5 linked regions of the Callithrix jacchus genome follow. The protein of the gene in region 5 interacts with the protein of the main gene of each other region in a pairwise test. Links are inferred from orthologs where the notes say so. Each region holds a gene or a part of one and is shown on either strand. Other genes may lie near its edges. The genes, in order: RAB1A, ZFYVE21, TRIM32, SNX10 and RABAC1.

What was found.
Region 1: the proteins of RABAC1 (region 5) and RAB1A interact in a two-hybrid assay, tested with the Homo sapiens proteins (2 studies listed by BioGRID and IntAct). The link is inferred for Callithrix jacchus from reciprocal best matches to the Homo sapiens genes RABAC1 and RAB1A.
Region 2: the proteins of RABAC1 (region 5) and ZFYVE21 interact in binary tests that used the Homo sapiens proteins (3 or more experiments, as listed by UniProt). The two-hybrid records come from large-scale screens. The link is inferred for Callithrix jacchus from reciprocal best matches to the Homo sapiens genes RABAC1 and ZFYVE21.
Region 3: the proteins of RABAC1 (region 5) and TRIM32 interact in binary tests that used the Homo sapiens proteins (3 or more experiments, as listed by UniProt). The two-hybrid records come from large-scale screens. The link is inferred for Callithrix jacchus from reciprocal best matches to the Homo sapiens genes RABAC1 and TRIM32.
Region 4: the proteins of RABAC1 (region 5) and SNX10 interact in binary tests that used the Homo sapiens proteins (3 or more experiments, as listed by UniProt). The two-hybrid records come from large-scale screens. The link is inferred for Callithrix jacchus from reciprocal best matches to the Homo sapiens genes RABAC1 and SNX10.

What each region holds. Positions count from the first base shown.
Region 1 is NC_133515.1:48,813,312-48,817,605, forward strand, and holds the start of RAB1A (ras-related protein Rab-1A), read left to right. Parts: upstream 1-1,485; 5' UTR 1,486-1,676; coding exon 1,677-1,699; intron 1,700-4,294. UniProt on the Homo sapiens protein: The small GTPases Rab are key regulators of intracellular membrane trafficking, from the formation of transport vesicles to their fusion with membranes.
Region 2 is NC_133509.1:138,519,696-138,523,686, reverse strand, and holds the start of ZFYVE21 (zinc finger FYVE domain-containing protein 21), read right to left. Parts: upstream 2,807-3,991; 5' UTR 2,739-2,806; coding exon 2,601-2,738; intron 66-2,600; exon of another isoform or gene 1-65. UniProt on the Homo sapiens protein: Plays a role in cell adhesion, and thereby in cell motility which requires repeated formation and disassembly of focal adhesions.
Region 3 is NC_133502.1:165,023,333-165,027,478, reverse strand, and holds the start of TRIM32 (E3 ubiquitin-protein ligase TRIM32), read right to left. Parts: upstream 2,801-4,146; 5' UTR 2,449-2,800; intron 1-2,448. UniProt on the Homo sapiens protein: E3 ubiquitin ligase that plays a role in various biological processes including neural stem cell differentiation, innate immunity, inflammatory resonse and autophagy.
Region 4 is NC_133512.1:31,753,314-31,757,569, forward strand, and holds the start of SNX10 (sorting nexin-10), read right to left. Parts: upstream 2,808-4,256; 5' UTR 2,727-2,807; coding exon 2,673-2,726; intron 1-2,672. UniProt on the Homo sapiens protein: Probable phosphoinositide-binding protein involved in protein sorting and membrane trafficking in endosomes. Plays a role in cilium biogenesis through regulation of the transport and the localization of proteins to the cilium.
Region 5 is NC_133523.1:36,983,756-36,987,694, forward strand, and holds RABAC1 (prenylated Rab acceptor protein 1), read right to left. Parts: upstream 2,803-3,939; 5' UTR 2,718-2,802; coding exon 2,662-2,717; intron 2,391-2,661; coding exon 2,178-2,390; intron 1,808-2,177; coding exon 1,710-1,807; intron 564-1,709; coding exon 462-563; intron 380-461; coding exon 291-379; 3' UTR 126-290; downstream 1-125. UniProt on the Homo sapiens protein: General Rab protein regulator required for vesicle formation from the Golgi complex. May control vesicle docking and fusion by mediating the action of Rab GTPases to the SNARE complexes.

The sequences.
Region 1 (4,294 bases), on a different chromosome or scaffold from region 5:
GGTGTTCATTTCAGAAGCCAGCATGTGAAGTAACTCATATAACCTTTGAAAATTTATCAACTAAGGCCCACGGCAGAATTTGAGGGTTAAGGGGTGTAATTAGTGTATAGGTAGATATAAGTGCCTTCTTTCTATATTTTGGCGTTGTAGTAATTTAAAGTGATTCTGCAGTAAGTCTCAGGAGACAATTTTCTTAGTTCTTAGAAGCTGTAATATAAACTTTGGACAATGTATTATACTATGCCCTTTGTAATTAAATAACTCAAGATAATGTGTTAAAGTTTAGTGGAGATTTAAATTCCTGCGCTGATTAAAGAGAGCTGTTAAGACCACAGGTTTTTAAAAAATGAGTTAATAAATAATACCCTCAGAAATTGTAGGCATTATGTAGTGATGAATTGCATGTTTTTATTGTTTATTATTTTCCAATCTTGCAGAATGGCTCAGGATTAGTAACAACTGAAAATAAGACATTACAACTCAACTTGAAGGCTGGCACGAAGGGAGGACTTGGATTTTAGGCTGGCTCTGGGCTGTGTCCCTCCCGTCCATGGAATGTGGAGCCACTGAAGGTTGTGGGGTCATGGTAGAGGTGCTGTCTCAGAAAGATACATTCGATTGTGTGCGCAAATGGGCTGGGGCGGAGAAGAGAGAGGCAGAGCCCATTAGGAGACTACTGCAATATCCAGGCTGACGAGTTAAGACAGGGGCAGCAGTAAGAATAAGAAGAAATCAAAGAAAATGGTAGTGCGCGGGGCCAACAATGGACGATGACCGAACCAAGTTGGGGCTGGGTGAGAAGTGAAAGAACCGCTCCGGGTTGTCCAGGGAGCCCCTTGACTTCCCTTCTGTCCTTAGAGCGGACGTCCTCCGACTAGCCAGCCGGGTGGCGCAAGCCTCAAGCTGGTTAGGTCAGCAAAAGCCACACCGGGGGCCTGAGCCGCCACGCGTGTCCCCCGCCCCCGGCCCCCTCCCCGCCCTTGCACCCCGGCAGTCTCTCCGGTTTGACCACTCCCTCCGGTCCCCAACCTTCCCCGACCCCCAGCCTCCGTCGACCGCCGGCACCGCCCTCCGCCTCTCTCCGCCCCTCTCCGCCCCCTCCCGCGTGGGGCGCTTACTAGCCCAGCTGCCACGTCTCACTGCTGACATCACCAGGGCCGCTCGGCCTTAGCCAATCCGCCAGGGGGAGTCAGAGCGAAGTCCTAGCCAGCGAGTCAGAGGGGAGGGGAGCAAGGAGGGGCGGAGGGTGGGGAGGTGAGGGAGTGGGGAATAGGGCGGGCGACAACCCTTCAAGTACGCATGCTCCAAACGCGCGGCGCTTGGCGGGAAGCTGAGTCTTGGCCTCCGCTCCGCACCGTCTGTTTTCAGCTCGCGTATCCGCACTCGCGACTCCCATTCCCGGCATGCCAGGCGGTGCGGCCGCCCTCCGGCTGTGTAAAGGCTCCTTGGTCTAAGGCTTCCCTATTTCCTGGTTCGCCGGCAGCCATTTTGGGTGGAAGCGATAGCTGAGTGGCAGCGGCTGCTGATTGTGTTCTAGGGGACTGAGTGGGGGAAGACGTTTGCTCTCCCGGAACAGCCTATCTCATTCCTTTCCTTCGATTACCCGTGGCGCGGAGAGTCAGGGCGGCGGCTGCAGCAGCAAGGGCGGCGGTGGCGGCGGCGGCAGCTGCAGTGACATGTCCAGCATGAATCCCGAATAGTGAGTTCAGGAGAGCACCGGTCGGCTGGGTCCGTGGGCCAGCTTGAGGGATCTTAAAGGGGGCAAGGAGGGTTGGGGCGGAAGTCGGAGCCTCAGCTGGGTTGAGGCGAGGGTGATGGGTCAGGAGAGGCTGGCGGCCGGGAGCCGGGCCCCATTGTCTGACGCGGAGGGGCGGCCGGGCGGGGGAGGGGTCGGGCCGGAGGGGTGAGACGCCCGGGCCTGGACCAGGTCAGGTTGGAGGGCCTGAGTGTGGGGCGGGTGCTGAGGAACTGTGCGGAGGGTCCTGAGGCGGTGTGAAGGGTTAGCTTTTCCTGGAGGCAGTGACTTTTGAAGGAGGACTTGTTTCTGAGGGGAGGGGATGGCGTGGGAGAGCCCTCCTAGAGGGCACTGGCAGACCCTGCGCCCGCACTCTGCGGAACTGTCAGGATCCTCGGGGTGGAAACCAGCTTTACTTGCAAATCCTGAGCTTCTTGGCTCCCTCTCCTTCCATCCTCTCCGCCAGGTTTCAGGTAATATGGATGCTTTTCGGGACTGCTTGGGATTGAGGGGAATGAGTAGATGGTGAGAAGCGATTTTTAAGTTCTCTTTTTTGAGTTGTGTCTTGGAAGAGTTCTTTAAGAACTCGGCGGTTCCATTGCCCTCCTAAAAACCTGGGCACTTGTGAGAATTTTTTTTTTTTTTTTTAGAGGACACTTAAGTCATTTTGTCTTCTGTAGGTCAAGGAAAAAAAACACACAGCTAAAGCCAAGGAATGTTTTTCTGATACTACCAGATTAAAGGAACCCTGCTGTCAAGTTGAAAGAGAAACGAATGGGACCTATGATAGATCTGTATGTAGGTTTTGGATTACCTGCTTGAATGATTGCAGATAGGGAATGATAGGCAATGAGGTTCCATGACGTGTCATGAAAAGTTAATGCATTTCTTTTTCTTGCTTACTCAAGAAGTCACGACAGCAGATGTGACACACCTGGCACCTTTCCTGGGAACTGGTGTTCACTTCCCTTGGGTAGACTTTGTTGGCTCTCCTCAGTGGCCCTTTAAAAATTTCCTCTACAGTTTACATATATGTAAAGTAATGAGTAATTGGAAGAGATAGAATTGGTATTTCTTTTCAGTGTCAAAAGCCTTTGAGGGATGGGGGAAATGAGTATTTGTTGTAAAAGTTGAGTTTATTTGCTGCTTTGATCAATTACTGCTAAACATTTTCCCCTAAAAGGTCCACCCACCAGTTTAGCTGACTGTCATGTGTGTGTCACATGGCTCTTGCAAAATGCATTCTTCAAGTTTTGTAACACTGGCTTGATGCTGAAATCTTTTGCACTAAACTGAAACCATAGTATTTTATTAGAATTTTATGCTTTAGAAGTTGACGGTAGTGTTCTTGTAGTGACATATTTACTTTGTTGACAGTTAAAAAAATTTTTTTTTCAAGGGCTCCAAGGACACAGTTGGTTTTGCACAGGTGAACACAGTTGAACTTGAGGTTCTTAATTTAGTGGTTTTCTTGGTAACAGTAAAGAATATGGATTTACCGCTCTATCAAAGTTCATAAACCTGTACTGTTAAGGGCTTTTTCTGAATTTACTATATATATGTTTAGTACTGTAAATAGATATTCAAGATTAGTTGAGAACTTTGACAAGTTAGCCTCTGAATTTATTTCCCCTTTTGTTAAATAGAATAATTGGAATCATTATTCCTTTCAGGGTAGTGGTGAAATTCAAATGCATATAAAAGAATTAGGAAAACTATATGAGCATTCTTCAGGTAGTATGCGTAATTTTCATGAAAGGCGTTCTATTAGTGCTAAGATTTAGGAATATAATCTTTATGTTTAAGGAGTTTAGGAATATAGATAAACATTTTATGCATGTCAAATACCAGTAAATGCAGCAAATTCCAGATGTGTGTCGTTGATGAGAGCAACAAGATTTCGGGGATGGTGGGTTGTGATTAGCTATCTGGGTTTTGGAAGACTTTATAGAAAAGAGACCTGAAAGGAAATTATCAGCAGCAATTGGATTTGGAGGAACAGAGGGAGTGAGAAGGAATTTTCAAGGAGGAGAAGCAGGAATGGCTCATAGATGACAGGGATAGTAATTCTTGAGTAAATGTGGTATCACATCATCCTTTTCTTTTGAAGACTAGATTAATGACCTCAATGGAATCAAATCCAGAAATAGTTTTTATATTTTTTCTGGCATCAAATACATGAGTATCTGGCCTACTATATTTGTAGTCTATCTAGACTGTTGAGTAAAGTAAAACAGGAATTTGGGAAAACTTTTGCAAAAATGTTAGTGGAAATTAGGGTAAGAGGAAGTGAGGGATATTTTATTAGGGAAGGTTACAAGGGCAGCCAACAATCAGATTTTTAGCAATCTGACTTTAGCAGGTTTTTTTTTTTTTTTTTTTGAGACGGGGTTTCGCTCTTGTTACCCAGGCTGGAGTGCAATGTCTCGATCTTGGCTCACTGCAGCCTCCGCCTCCTGGGTTCAGGCAATTCTCCTCCTTCAGCCTCCTGAGTAGCTGGGATTACAGGCACACACCACCGTGCCCAGCTAATTTTTTGTATTTTTAGTAGAGACGGGG
Region 2 (3,991 bases), on a different chromosome or scaffold from region 5:
GTGCACATTTCAGTCACCTCCCCACAATCACCCCAGTGGCCGCAAGCACACAGCCCACGAAGTGCAGCTCAGTGTCCCTGCAGCGCCGCCACGTGCCGGCGGCTGTCACAGTTACGGTTTCCCTCGAGCCCTCTCCACATCTTCCAGTCCTCACTGCCCCGTTCTCCTCCCCCCGGACACTGTCTTTGGTCACTTCTGGGCTCTAAGACCACGCTCCAATAAAATTCAAAACACAAAACTCAAAGTCCAACTCACTAGAATGGTTCCTCCCGTCCCCCACGCCCACCCAACGCTAGGGCCTTCCTCGGCTGCTCAAAACCCCATTCGTCATCCAGACACGGTGGGGGCGGGGGGCTCTGGAGAGACATCCTGCCGCCACAGGTGGGAATGAATCTTCTCTTCCAGGAGGGGCGCCACCTGACTCAGGTGTTTCAACTCCACTGGGCAGGAAGTCACCGCGGGACTTCCACGCAGCACCTCCACAGAGGCCACGAAGAAAGGCCGGGGAAAAGTGCTAAACAATTCAGCTGATGGCAGAAGGGTCTGGAAGAGGAATGAAGGAGGGAACACAGAGGTAACTAAAAACCAGAACCTAAAATCAGCACTGGTGGAGGCTATGGAGAAAGAAACTGCCTCAGTGGGAACCCCTGCCTCATCTTGGCCACGCTCTCTCACATGCCCCACACGGTTCATACAGCTGGGGAGTATTTCTGTGCCATTAAGAGCTCATGGGTGAGCGCCACAAATACATACGACTTTCACTTGTCAATTTAAAAATACATTTTGGGGGTGGTGGGGGAAAAAGAAAAAAATTAAAAAAAAAAAAAAACATTTTGGTCGGGTGCAGTGGCTTACGCCTGTAATCCCAACACTCTGGGAGGCTGAGGCAGGCGGATCACCTGAGGTCTGGAGTTCAAGACCAGCCTGACAAACATGGTGAAACCGCCCCATCTCAAAAGAAAAAAAAAAAAAAAAAAAAAAACATTTTAAAAAACACGTCACAGGAGAATGACTGGAGCAAAGTGTCTAAAAAACTCCATAGGGTGGCGATACCGGGGACTGGACTCGTCAGGACCCCCTCGGTGACAGGGGAAGGCTCCGTACACTGTAGACGCTGACACACTTCCACACAGCCACTGGAATTCTGTCCTGTCCCAGAGGCTCCGCGGCAGCCCTCCCCGCCAGGCCTCCGTTCCAGCTTCAAGGAACCCAGGTCAACTCGTGCTGCTCTGACTTCCTAAATCCGGTTCCAACATTTGCTTAGTTCTCTCACTGAGGGAATTAAACGAATCTGTAACATGCGTTAAGTATGAAAGTCCTGTTACAGGCCGGGCGAGGTGGCTCACACCTGTAATCCCAGCACTTTGGGCGGCCAAGGAGGGTGGATCACGAGGTCAGGAGTTCGAGACCAGCCTGACCGACATGGTGAAACCTCGTCTCTACTAAAAATACAAAAAAATTAGCTGGGTGTGGTGGTGCGCGCCTGTAATCGAAGCCACTCAGGAGGCTGAGGCAGGAGAATGGCCTGAACCTGGGAGGCGGAGGTTGCAGTGAGCCAAGATCGTGCCACTGCACTCCAGCCTGGGAGACAGAGTGAGACTTCGTCTCAAAAAAAAAAAAAAAAGAAAGTCATATTACAAAAGTTTTCTCTCAGAGTTTTTATCCTGGTAAAATCCGCAGAATATAAGCTGGACAGACTTGTTAGTGCACAGCCAGGGAGAGTAAATGCACTCGAGGCCTTCCTAGCTGGCCGAGGAGCTGGGGTGAGGCAAAGGCACCTCCCATCAGGTCAAGGGGAACCCCATGGGACCCCCAGGGGATGGCCTGGCTGGCTCAGGGACCTCACGTCCACGCCCCAACTTCTGCAGGAGTGACTCGGGCAACTCCCACGCTGCCCGGGCCGCTGGGAAGCGGGTGCAGACCTGCGGTCTCCAAACTCTCCAGTGGGCGACTGCAGCCTCGCTTCCGAGGCGGAGGGCGGTGTAGACGAAGGGGAAAGGGAGGCAGCCTGGCCCACAGGGTGGGTCCTGGCTCTCCTCCCGGCCCGGCTTCTGAGCAGGAGGCGGCTTCGGAACCCAGCACCCGCCCGCGGCACCGACGCCTCTCCCGGTTCCCGGGCGGGACCCCTGCAGGGCCGCCGGCTCCAGCGCTTCCGCGGACCACAAGCGCCTTCCCCGCCGAGCTTGCGAGGAACGCGCGCTGCCTTCCACTTTCTCCGGAGCGAGCCCCGGCTCTCGGGACGAAGTCCACACCCGCTAGCCCAGCACGAACCGACCCCCGGGGCCAGCCCGCGCCCGGAGCCCCGCACCCCGCCTCCCGGCGCCCGCCCTGAGCAGGTGCAGGCCCTCCCGCCCTCCCTGGACCTTCGCACCGGGACCCCCGCACCGACACCCCGTGCGCCTCCCAACCTCCCCGCGGGCGCAGGAGCCTGAGGCGGGGGCCCCGGAATGCGGCCAGCCTGGGGGAGCGCCAGGCGGGGGCCTGCTGGGGAAGGCGCCGCCCGGAGGCGGAGGGGGCGCCGCGGGAGCCTGGGAGTCCGCGGGGCCGGTCAAGGGCTGCGGGCCGGGTCCGAGACGCGGGCTGGGTCGGCGGCCACCCACCTCTTTGTCCGGGACCCACTGCGGCTCCTCCAGGCCGAACGGGCTTCCGAAGGCGCGGTGCTCGGGCACCATGCGCAGGCCGCTGGGGGAACGCACCAGCTTCTTGGCGTCGCGGCGCGCGGACACTTCGGAGGACATGACGCCGCCTCAACCTCTCGGCCCGAGGCCCCGCACACGGCCCCTCGCCCAGCTCGGGGGCAACGCCCGCCCCGCCCCGGCCCGCGCGCGGCTGACAGCGCCGGCGTCCAATCGCCAAGCCCGCCACGGAGCGCGGACCAATCGGAATTCGAACTCCGCCCCCTCTCCTATCGCATAAGGGCACCGCCCCTGCCACCTTGCGGTCGGTGACCAATCGGCGGTGAGGGCTGGCCCGGGCATGCTCCGCCCACCTCGGTGGGATTGAGACTTTGGATTGGCTAGTTATTCAGTCACGTCGGTGTCGCTTCGTCTCTGATTGGTGTAGCCCTCTCAGGGCTTCCGGCGCCTATTGGAGGAGGAGGCTGAGAGGGGCGGGACGGCGCGAAGAAGAGAGCGGGGCCCGCAGTAGGTGAGACTCGCTGAGCCAAGCTGCGGGGCCGGGCGGCGGTGGGGTCGGACACCGTTGGTCGCCGCGGGCGTGAGGGGTGTGGCAGGGTCGAGGAGCAGGGGCGGCCGCGGGTCTCCACTGCCCGAGCTGGTTGGAGCAGGAGGGCCTGAGGCTGCAGCCCGGGTCGCGTTAGGGCGCCTCCCTGGAGAAGGCGGGCTCGGGGGTCCCCGGAACGGCGGAAGGCCGAGGTGTGCCCGCGGCTGCGCCCCCGGCCTTGGGCGCCTTCGCTTGCCTGCCTGGGACCGCGCTGGCCTGGCATCGAGGTGGGAGATGTCTGAACACAGTTATTTAATGGTTTCGTTTGGAAAGAAAATCTTTAGGCCGGGCGCGGTGGCTCACGCCTGTAATCCCAACACTGGGAGGCTGAGGCAGGCAGATCACGAGGTCAGAAGTTCAAGACCAGCCTGGCCAACATGGTGAAACCCCGTCTCTACTAAAAATACAAAAATTAGCTGGGCGTGGTGACACTTGCCTGTAATCCCAGCTACTTGGGAGGCTGAGGCAGGAGAATTGCTTGATCCGGGACCTGGGAGGCGGAGGTTGCGGTGAGCCGAGATCTATCGTGCCCTGTAGCCTTGGCTACAGAGGGAGACTCCGTCTCAAAAGGGTGGGGGACTTTGTTTATCCTGCCTTTAATTTCTTATTACAAGGCGTGAATTTTTATTGTTTGAAACAGGGTCTCGCTCTGTCGCCCAGGCTGGAGTGCAGTGGCACTCAGTGCAGCCTTGACCTCCTGGGCTCCCAAGTAGCTGGGACCGCAGGTGCCCCCACGGTTCTCGGCTATTTTTTTCTTTTTAGTAGAGAA
Region 3 (4,146 bases), on a different chromosome or scaffold from region 5:
ATAAGAAATTAGCAACAGAGTAAGGAGTTTAGACAGGGCTGACTGAATTCCCATGACATATTTTCTTTTAGGGATGTGCGCGGATGTTCCAGCTAAACCTTAGCAGTCAGATGCAGTCTAGCTTTGTTTCTGAACTGGCTTCAGCAACGCTGTAGCTAGTCCTGGAGATGATAGAGCCAATGCTATTATTTTGTTCCAGGGAAAAGCAGCCCAAAAGAGATCACACAGAACAGTGATTACTCTCCTTCAGAATATGAATGCCTTAAGCCTCAGTCCCTGCTATGAGGTGTTTTCTCAAGCCAACGGCCTCCATACCTCACCCCATAGTCTGTTGCACCTCATTCTGCCTGGTAACCTCAAACTCGTCTCCTTATCTAGCCCCTGGTCTTGGTCTAAGAGCAAACCAAGAACAAAGTCCAGGGCTCCTCCCTACCTAATCAGAGAGATTTACCTTCTCCGCCCCCCCACCCCCCCACCCCGCCACCCCGTCTTTGATAGTCACTGGGCAATCCTCTTTTTCATTAGAGGGGAATGGGCTGAGAAAATAAGACTAAGCAGGCCTTAGAAAGGAAGTAGCAAGGAAAAAGGGAATATACAGAGCTACAGAGATTTGGGTATGAGCTTATGTGTCATTCCTAGCTATGGAAACTTAGGCAAGTCACTTCCTAAGCCTTAGTTCCCTCGTGTAAAACTGAAAACAGCAGAGCCTACTTAGAAAGATACGAAAACTGAATAAAGAAGTAGATATAAGACTAAAAGTTACTAGATTTTGAGAACATACTATGTGCCAGATCCTAGGCATGCTAATTTATTTCACTAAATCCTCACAATTCTGTGACATAGGTCGTTATCATAACCCCATTTTACAGGTGAAGAGTCAAGGCACTGGGTGGTTAAGTAACTCATTCAAGGCCACAAAGTCAGGAAGAGACAGAGCTAGGGCTTGAACCCAGGATATCTGACTCTAGGGCAGAGTGCCTCAACTTTGGCAGTACTGACATTTTAGGCAGGATAATTCCTTACTGGGGAGCAGGGGCTTATCCCATGCATTATCAAATGTTTAACATTAACATAAAACATTAACATGTTTCATCTACCCACTTGAAGCCAGTAGTATTCCCCACCCTAACTGTGACAACCAAAAAACATCTCCAGACATTGCCTAATGTCTCCAAGGTGACAAAACCACCCCTGGTTAAGAACCACTTCTTTATAGTCTGGCACAGGACTAAATGCTCAATACATAAGGGTTCCCTTTTATTTTTGTCTCTCTCAGAGCCCAAACACCTCATTCACAGAGGCACCGCCCCTTCAAGCTGTAATGGATCTTAGATAGGATTAATTATTCCACTTATTCCCCTGGAGGTCTCACATTCTATCTGCTATCGCAGCTTGTGGGTACAAGGAAAAGGGGCTTAGGTAGATGACCTTGAATAGTTCCATTTCTTCTTCCCCAAAGCCCACCATTTTCAGTGGCCTGGGGGTGTCAGAGGGGAGTTAGTGGCAATACCATACCTGCCTCATGATAATGGATATTTGTTTAATAAATGAAGAAGATTCTGCCCTTCACAAGGATCACCACACTCCTTCAGGATCTCTGAACTGAAGATGTATCACTTCGTTCCTCAACACCTGAACTCTGCTCATCTTCATATACTCATCTATATCATACATTACTTTTAGGTCCTTGGGTCCCCTGAACTCCATCTGTCTCCCATGCAGCGATTTAAGGAAAATCTCTTCAGCAGTCCAAGACACCAGTCCACAAACCGACTCAGGGTTTTTTGATTCTATAGCCCAGTTAGGACATCTCTACCCTATGATTCAATCCTCTCCAAACCCTGTCCCCAACCCTCTTACAATACCAAATTCCAATCTCTGGCGCTGTATACTGCAACCCTCATCAATTCCTCACTCCTATGCCCCAAATCCCTCGGACATAGATCCTTTAATCCCTGTTTCCAAATCTCTGCTGCACTCAGCCCTGCACCTCAGTTCAACGGCCCAATTCCACACTTGATTTCTGCTCTCCCTCATTCTGAGCCCCCCATCTCCTGCATTCCATCAGGCACTGTGCCGCTCTCAAACCCTGTTCCTTCCTCTTACGCACTGAATGTCACATGCTGGCTTCACAGTTCAGCCAGGTCCCTTCTTTCTGCTAACAAGACAGAGTCCCTCAAGAACTCATCCCCATCCCCTCAATCTCACGCTCATCCCACTCCGAAAACCCTCTCTCACTAGCACTGAGGATCGACCTAGACCTTGCTCCTATCATCTCAGACCCTGTCCTTGCCAGATGCCTAGCGCCCCCAGATTCCCTTAAATCTCATCGGGGGTCCCCAGTTCCTTCATATTTCTGAAATTCTGCACCCAGGTCCCTCCAGGGCCCTGATTCCCTCCCATCTCCCACATGCTGCACCCCATTTCTCCTCTCGGCCCCCACATTACCTCATACCTCCCGAAATGCTTCAAACGCAAATCTCTTCAGAGCACCTCGCTCCCCTCCCCCAGCTGCATCTCCTCGGATCTCCTCAGCCCCATGAATCTCTCCCGAGCCTGCCCCTAGCAGCCCCACCCCCACCCCAGTCCTGCCCCTCAGATCCGGTCCACAGACTCTGCCATTCGGGCGCGGCCGCTGCTCGCCGGCACGGCCCTCCGCCCCGCTACTGTGCCACCGCCCACGACTCCGGCCGCGGTCCCTGGTCCCCAACCCTCCTTCCCGCCCCCTACCTGACCGCCCGCGGCTCCAACGAGTCCACCGCCGCCAGCCCACCCGCCTGCCGCCTTCTGCGCACGCGCCGCTGAGCGCCCCTTGCCGGGCGGCAACTCGCAGAGCTCCCTGTCAGTCATTGAGCCCCGCCCCCCGAGGCAAGCTGGGTCTTGTAGTGCCGCGGGGCCGGTCGGCCCTGCAGGGGTGAGCATTCCTCTGAGAACCCGGGGGCCTTAGCTACACGTAATCCAGTTTTCCGTCTCGTTGTGCAGATGAAGAAACCGAGGCCCACGGGCGAAAGGGACCTGCTCAAGTTCATTCAGTAAGTCAGGAGATAAGCCAGAACGCGTTTCTGACTCCAGTCCCAATGTCTACCCCTTACAAAGCCGTGGCTTCCAGGGTAGTCCTAATCAAAGCCTTGGCACCTCGCTGAGTCTCAGTTTTTCTATCAAAGAAATGGGCCAACGGTAGAATCAAACTTCCATCCTGGGGAAGTCGAGAACCGGGACTCCCTGGGAAGGGCAGTGCTTGGGCTCCATGTTCTGTGCTCTGACACAGAGCTGCGCTAGAGACAAGTTTATCCATGAACACATTGCTCTGTAAAGGAATGAATGTTTTGCCTACTCAGCTGGGAAGTCGACAGCAGACGCAGACGTGGGGAATACTGTCCCTGCAGACAGAGCTTCCCGGGAACCCACACCAAGTCTAGTTTTGGAGAGTCAGGGGTGAAGGTGGGGGAGTCTTACCGGGTGGGAAGTTGTCTGGCCTGAGATTTGAGGGAATCTGGGGCACTAGGCATCTGGCAAGGACGAGGTCTGATAGAGGACTGGCTGGCCATAACCTGCAGTCCCTGAGGTAGTTTGGGGACAATCGCATGCTCTCCAAGGTGACTATACTGCATAGCTTAGGAGCACAAAGGAGTTTGAAGTAGGATGGCCTTGGATTTGAAATTCCACTTAGCTATGCGACCCTTGCACAATGATAAAACCATGAACAAAAACAATAACTAACACCTTTGGATACTTGCTGTCTGGCTATAGCTAAGGACTTCAGGTGCGTGGCTCACTAAATCCTCCTAAGGACTTCATAAGATAAGGCAGCTGGTGGTTAACCTACACCTGTTGTGTAACCTAGGCGGTTACACAGCAAACCTGTGCCTGTTGGAGCCCTGATTTGTACCCGATTCTATCTGGGAACCCACTCTCTTAACCTTGTTTACTCTCTCTCCCCATTTTCTAAATTTCTAAATGAAGTTTGCTATGAAGATAAACCAAGATTATGGTAGTTTGCAGTTGGTAACTGTATTTGAAAAATTGTAATTAGCAAGTAGGGGATAAGGGAGAGGCGGTGCCAAATGCTTTCTCACTTATACTCCCTTCTTATACGAGTTAGGGAGACTTTGCATTCTTTTTTCCTGAAAACCACAGTTATCAGCC
Region 4 (4,256 bases), on a different chromosome or scaffold from region 5:
TACTATGTTCATAAATTGGAAGACTCAACATAGTAAAGAGATAAATTCTCCCCCAATTGATCTGTAAGTTTAACATAATTCCTATCAAAAAAATCTCAGCAAGAATTTTTTAAAGACACAGATGGGCTTATATTAAAATTTATATAGAAAAGGAAAGGTCTTAGAATAGCCAAAAAATTTCTGAAAAAGAATAAAGTGGGAGGAAGCCTTCTTCCCAATGTTAAGACACAGTTGATCAGTGAAATGCAGAACAGAAAACCCAGAGACAGACCAACACAAATATGCTCATTTGACAAAGGCGCAAAAAAAAAAAAAATTCAGTGGAGAAGAAAAAGCCTCTCAACAAACGATTATGCAGCAACTGGACATCCATAGGTCAAGAGATGAACCTCAACCTAAAGCTTGCACCTTATACAAAACCCAACACTAAATAAACCACAGATGTAAATGTCAAACATAAAGCATCAGAGAAAACGTTTAGAAAAAAAAATTCAGAGAAAACCGTTCAGTCTAGTACTAGGAGAAGAGTGCTTAGACTTGATCTCAAAAAGGCAATCCACAGAAGGATAATCAATTAAGCTTCATCAAACTAAAAATCTTTGCTCTGCAAAAGACACCATGAATAAGGTTAAAAAAAAAGCACATTACAAATTGGAAGAAATATTTGCAAATTACACATCCCACAAAGGACTTGCATTTAGAATATATATATATATATATTTAAATAACCTCTTAGACCGATGAGGTGGCTTTCTCTTGTAATCCCAGCACTTTGGGAGGCCAAGGTGGGAGTATCCCTTGAGCTCAGGAGTTCAAGACCAGCCTGGGCAACATGGTGAAACCCCATCTCTATGAAACATTTAAAAATTATTTAAAAATTAGCTGAGTGGAGTGGCTTGTACTTGTAGTCCCAGCTACTCAGGAAGCTGAGGTGGGACTCAATTGCTTGAGCCTGGTGGGTGGGTGGGAGGTTGCAGTGAGCCGAGATCACGCCACTGCACTCCAGCCTCAGCAACAGACAGACCCTGTCTCAAAATAAACTCATTCACTCACTCTAAAAACTCAATATTTAAAAAACAGAATTCAATTTAGAATACAGGCAAAAGACATGAAGACACATTTCACCCAAAGAGGGCATACAGACGGCAAAAATCATGTGGAAAGATGTTTAATATCATTAAACACCAGGAAAATACAAATTAACCCCACGGTGATATAGCATACATACCTATTACAGTTTCTATGAGGATCCACACTATTTTTTATTTTAGCCATTGTGATAGATGTGTTTTTAAAATTTCCCATCATAGCCTAGCTTGAATCTTTGTAGCAGAGTAAAAATGAGTAGGTGTTAACTGTAAAAATATTTACTTAGATTACAGAAATATCACAAAAGACAGAAGCTAATAAAGCAGAATGTCTAGGTGTTAAGTGAATATTAATTTTTCATAGCTTTGATGAGAATTTTCTATCATAAAAATGTAAACTTGTCTCAGTTTGTTCTTCCTTCTTGGGACATTTTTTTTCTACTTCAAAGTAGTGCTTTAAAGATTCATGTATTTAAACTGGAGACTCATTCGTTCATTCATTCATTCACTTAAAATATATTGTGCACCAACAATGCACTAGGTACTTTTCTATACAACTAATGATTATAGAATTTACCAATGTCTTAATCACCAGAGTGCTATTCAGGACCCCCATATAACAATCTCACAACTAAAATCTGGCATATTTTACATGCTATATTCTTTACAAATAACAATGGAAAGGCAGAATGAATATATCAAATAACCTTCCTTTATTTCCTAAAACAGCTGTAACAAATAACTTAAAAGACATATGACAAGTGATATTACTTGCCACTCTATAGCATGGAGTATGTTTAAATACCATCCTCTGGTGGTACTGAATGATGATTTTTTGAAAAGCTTTTTATTACTTCAGGATAAACAACTGTGAATGAGATTTAGCTAGACCTGCCTTTTACATGACTTGTAACAGTTCATGATGTTGCAAGTTTCTTTACACAAGTAGTATCCCAAATCAGCAAGAGTTACCTTTTCATATCTCATAACACATTAGGAAAAGTGCAGTTAAAATAAAAAAAAAAAACTCGTCTTTTGCAACAAGAAATAATTGGCATCCACAAGGATGCAATCAGCAAAATCTAAAATATGAAAATCTCTATAAGGCAAACTATGTTAATTTCTTCAACAAATAAACTGCAAAAGGGAGAAAAGAGAGAATTAAAGACTTTAAACAATCTTATCAACCAAATGCAATGTGTGGTCCTTATCTGAATCCTAATTAAATAGATAATTAGAACAACCAGCTATATAATTTTTTTTCAAAATAATCAAGGTAATTTGAACACTGAATATTTGATGATATGAAGCAATTGTTTAATTATTTAACATGAGATAATGTGGTCCATTTTTTAAAAGGTCATTTGTTAGAAATGTATACTGAAATATTTACAGATGAAATTATATAATATCTAGAATTTGTTTCCAAATAATTTACTGTGGTAGCAGGAGGAAATAGGTGGGGGAGGGGTATAGCTTGGCTATGAGTTAATAATGCGTTAGTAAATTGCTGAAGCTGGGTGGTAGGTATATACATGGGGGTTCATTATATTTTCATCTCTACCATTATATTATCATCTTTACCTTGTGTATTTTTTGTTTCGGGGGTTTAAGAGGCGAGGTCTCACTCCGTTGCATAGGGTGGAATGCAGTGGCTATTCATGATTGCTCACTGTAGCCTCGAACTTCTAGGCTCAAGTGATCCTCCTGCATTGGCCAAGTAGCTGGAGTTACAGACATGTACCACCACACCCAGCTTCATGCAATTTTTTAACACTGATGGGAGTATTTATATAGGTGTATATTTTGTTTACTGGTTTATTCACTGTACAATCTTACAGAAATCTTTTTATGTGAGCATATACATGTCAATGATATTTGTTTTTAAATAAACTTTTTTATTTTAAACAGTTTTAGATATACAGAAATTATGAAGATGGTACAGAGAGGTCCTATATACCCCACACTCAACTTCTCCTATTATTAACATTTTATATCAGTATGCTGCATTTATCACAATTCATTAATCAATATTGACATTATTATTAACTGAAGTCCATATTTTATTAAGATTTCTTTAGTTTTCACCTAATGTCATTGATCTGTTCCATAATCCCACCCAAGATACATTCATTATATTTAGTCATTGTGTTTCCTTGGGCTCCTCTTGTCTGTGACAGTTTCTAGGGTATTCCTTGTTTTTCATGACCTTGACAATTTGAGGAGCCCTGGTAGGTATTTTGCTGAATGTCTCTGAATGTCTCTGATTTATCTGATGCTTTTCTCATTATTAGATTGATGTCATAGGTTTTTGGAAGGAAGGCCACCCATTTAAGAGGGTAAAGTGCCATTTTTATCACTTCAAGGGCACATGCTATCAACGTAGCATCACCATGGGTGTTAACAGTGATCACCTGGCTGAGGAAGTATTTGTCAGATTTCTCCACTATAAAGGTATTCTTTTTTCATTTCTAAACAAATGTGAAGATGAATTTATGCTTACTAATTCTTTCTTTTTTTAAGCCACTTCTAATTTAAACAGAGCTGGTGAAGTATTTCTTGAAATGTGTTAGAACACTAATCTGGAAGAATGAGATATTAAACTATAAATTCTATATGATCTCAGTTTTCTAAAAATGACATATACATATGTATAGAAAAAGACTAAAAAGAAATATCCCCAAGTTTTATTTTTCCTGTACACTTTTCCAAAATGTTCTGCAGTGAATTATTTTAAAATCTGGAAGAAGGGTTAAAAAAAAAAAAAAGAAGGAAGAGCTCTCTCTGGGACAGGCTCAGAAAAAAATATCAGAGTCCTCACAGTAACTGTAACACAAATGTAGTGCTCAGAATGACAGCAGCATTCTCTAAAACCTAGTGTGTATGTGTGAAGACAATATTCCCAGCTACTTTTCTTTGCTTACAGAAGACTGTAAATTGCCTCTTGTGGAAACTTAACTATTTCTTCAAATAGGAACACTTAATAACCGAGTATAACAGAGACTGAGAAAAGATGTAGAGAGGCTGGGAGATGAAAAAGGAAGGAAGAAGAAAGGAGGGAGAGGGGAACAAATTTAGGTTTTGGGGAGTGAGAAAATGTTTTGTCTTGTTGCTTCCCATTGAAGTACCCAGCATCACAGAATCCTAGATAATACTATTTATTTGTTA
Region 5 (3,939 bases):
CCCATAATATTTTACCTGTTTACCTTGTTGATCGTCTTGCCACACCCCAGGCTCCACGCCAACCCTGGTCTCTACACTATTTCCAGCATCATCCACAGAGACCCACAGAAGATGCTGGGGGAGTATTTGCTGAATGACACCTGTAACAGCTTTATTTTCAAAGGCAGATTCCCTCCCCGGACTTGTGATGGGGCAGCACTGTAGGCCCAAGCAGCAGCAGACCTGTGCAGGACAGGGATGGGTAGGGGTGGGGTGGCTGGCTGGGGAGGCCAGCAGGTCCCAGCAGCACCTCACACGGGTTCCATCTGCAGCTCCTCCCCGTCCATAGCCTCAATCTGGTGGAAGGCAGCATGGGAGCCGATGACTACCAGGGTGGCTCCTGCAGGAAAGCCGGCAGCTCAGGGCCACACTCCTGTGCCTGGCCCCACCATCCACCCCAGCCGCTCAGACCCTGTACTCACCCAGCACCCAGAAGACGGCCGAGCCAGCACCAGCCAGCCAGAAGAAGGGGAAGGATATGCCTCCAGCCAGAGCGTACTGATGGGCTGGGCTCACCTCTCGGCCTGGGGGCAGACGGCATTGGGGCGCTGTTCCCACCCTCCGTGCCCTCTCCCAGAGTAACCCCTGCTGTCCCCCAACAATCTATACAAGCTCCAGGACCTTGGGATTGAATCCAAACTCCTCTGCCAAGGCCCTCCAGTCCTGGGGTCACCCTGTTCCCCTGCTGTCCCAACTCCCCTCCAGAACACAGCACACCATCCTCACCTGCCTCAGCCCCACCCTCTGCCCTCTGGTCCACATCCTCTAGAAAGCTCCTGGGATCCCAGCTTCCTGCTCCCCAGACTACTCTGCTCTCCTGCTGCAACCCTCACGCAGACCAGGGGTCTCAAACTGGTGGTCCGGGGGCCAAATCTGACTGGTGGATGTGTTTTTTGAGATGTTTTGCAAGAATGTGATTTGTGGCTGGCAAAGTGAATGATTTCACATAAAAATACCAACTTCAGGCTTCTCACAGAAGTCTGGGAAATGGGGTCTGCATGCTGGTGACGGCGATGAGCTGAAGCCAAGTTGTGGCTGTGCTTCAGGTGCTCCCTCTACCCGACCCTCCTCCGCCCCAGCCTGTCATGCACATAACTTGCCGCAGGTCTACCTGACCATCCCATCCCAACTGTCCAACCTTACTCCAAACCTTGATTTTCCCCTGGGGGGATTTTTCCTGGCATTTTGTTTTCCCAGTGGTCCTTGGTACTAGTCTGGGAACCACATGAAACATACTCCTCAGTTTTCCTCTCTAAGTCCCAAGGTCTTTCTGGTCACATCCCAGAAAGCCAGAAAAGGGACGGGAACAAATCTAGACCGTGTAAGGTTGCCACCTGGTGTCCAGTGTGGGCACCTGCAGCTGATGCTTGCCGCAAAGAGCAGCGAGGGGAGGAGGGAGAGGGAAGGAGTCACGTGATTTGGAGAGAAGTAGGTTGAAGGCACAGCTGACAGGTGGAATCTGGGTTTGAGGAATTGCAATTTAGGGGGCCGAGATTCGGTGGGAGCATCTGTTTTGAGATGTTAAGGGATCAGGTTTGGGGGACCTAGTCTACATCTAGGCTTGGGCGGACTTGGGTTTTGAAGGACTTGGGTTTGGGCTCTGAGGTCTGTAATTCCAAGAGACCAGGATGTGAGGGACCAAGGATTCATATGGGCAGGGGATTTCTCACCAAAGAGCACAAGCTTGGACTGCAAGGTGCGCAGATAGAGAATGTAACAGGCGCCGAAAAAGACAGCCAGAGCCACCAGCAACATAGGGGATGTCACCCTGGAGGAGGAGTGCAGGGAGGCAGCAGTCAGGCAGCTGGGGCTAGGCCAGCCAGGGAGCCCTGGCCTTCTCCACCAGTGTGCGGCAAGCTACATCCTGGAGACCAGGGAGAGCCAGGTGACATTTAGTCACCCCGCATCCTGGCCAGGGTGATGGTGGAGTAGTGACCTGGCCCTTTGGTGACAAGGTAGGTCTAGCAGAGCCAACCCTTGGGGGCGGGGCCTGGCCGGTGAGAGGAGGGGCCTGGCCGGTGGGGGCGGGGCCTGGCCGGTGAGAGGAAGAACCGGAGGTGGCAGCGGGGCCTGAACCAGGAGAGGAGGGGTCTAGCCGGGGAGGGAGAGTGCAGATGTGGGGCCCGGAAGGCACTCACACGCAGTACAGGATAAGGCCCAAGAACACGAACACATAGTTGCTCTGGTAGTGCTCCACGTTGCGTACGAGGCGCTGGCACAGCTCGCCCAGGTTGCGGGGCCGTGAGAAGCGCTGCTGGTCCACGAAGGTCCCCCAGGGCCGGATGGTCGCCCGGCGCCGCTCCAGCCACTCCCGTCCTGCACCAGAGGGGATCAGCTTCGGCAGCAGGGTCCTGCGCGGGGCGGGGCCGGGTCAGTGGTGGACCGGAATGGAGGCCCAGATCCCCATAAGGGGCTAAGCCTGGACTCCCTCCCGGAACCCCAGACTCCTGGCCCATAGAGGGAAAGGGGGCTAAGGGCTCAGACTCCAGGGTCCCAGAAGAGGAGATCGGGGACCAAGACTTTGGCGTCTCGGGGCTGGGACTCCGGGCACTCAAGGGAGGAGAGGGTAGGGGGCCGGGACTCCGGGTGTCGGGTCCAAAGGGCTAGAGCCGGCTTGCTCACGTGGCGCTCAGCCCTTCTGCCTCGGCATCCTTCTGCTGGTCCTTCGGGGCTGCCATGTCTGCGTCGTGAGGGGTAGAGCTGCGGTAACTAGCCCGGTACCCTGCAGACCCTGCCGGCACCGCCTGAGTCCGGCCCCACCCTGCGGAGCCGACGTGGCGCCGCTCCGGAGCAGCTGGGGACGGTAGTTCTGTCGCCAGGCACTGTGGGAGTTGTAGTCTTAACGGTGGCTGGGAGGGTGGGCGCTATGATGGCGGCCTGACTCGCAGGACACTTTGGAAGATACAATCCCAGAAAGTGACGACGCGCGCCTCTGGGCATTGTGGGAGTTGTAGTTTTGGGAGGGCACAGGTGCGCTGTCAGGAGCGAGGGCGTTAAGGGAGCTCTAATGGCAGAAGCGGGCGTGTGTACTCTCCCGGGGAGGGCACAGTGGAGACCGTGCCGAGCTGTCGTTCTGACTCTAGAGGGCATAAAAAAACACCTGGAGGGCTTGCTAAAACACAGAATCCTGAGCCCCAGCCCAGATGTTCTCATTCAGCAAGTCTGGGGTGGAACCCATAATTTGCATTTCTGAGTTCCCAGGTGATGCTGATGCGGCTTGTCCATGGACCACATATTGAGTAGAAAGATTTAGATAATTTGTGGGAATTGATTTTTTCCTCAAGAGATTGAGGCTAGTGAGGGGGCCATGGTTGCTGGAAGGGTATCTGAGGTTGGCCCCTACCCCACCTCGTGGAGTCCCAAAGATGAATGAGTTGGGGCTAGGGACACCCCCCGTCGTCCCCCCCCCCACCATACACCTTTGGACAGGAGGAAGTGAAGTTGGGAAAGAGAAAGTATTGAGAAGTTTTAAAAGTGGGAGGTGTTATACCTAAAAGAGCTGTGATTCTGGATTCAGACTCAGGAGAAAATCCAGGCTGTGTGGCTGTGATCTAGTCACCTCCTTGAACTTCAGTATCTTCATCTGAACAGCGGGGATCCTAATGGTACCAGCTCACAGGGTTATGATGATTCAGTTAAATCCATGTGAAGTGCTTGAAAGACTCTAATTTTTAAAGAGACTTTATAATTGCTCAATAAATGATAGTCATTGTTATTGCCACTATATTATCCCAGATGTTATGATTATAATTTCTAGAGTTCAGCCTCCTGAAATTTAATAGGAACATGTTAGGGGCTGCTGGCCTTTTGGATGTCCCCAAAGATGGCTAGTGTCTGAGGCATGGGCCTTTCTTTTCCCTGGTTCTCCTAGCCATGGTTCTTTCTCAGTCTTTAAACAGA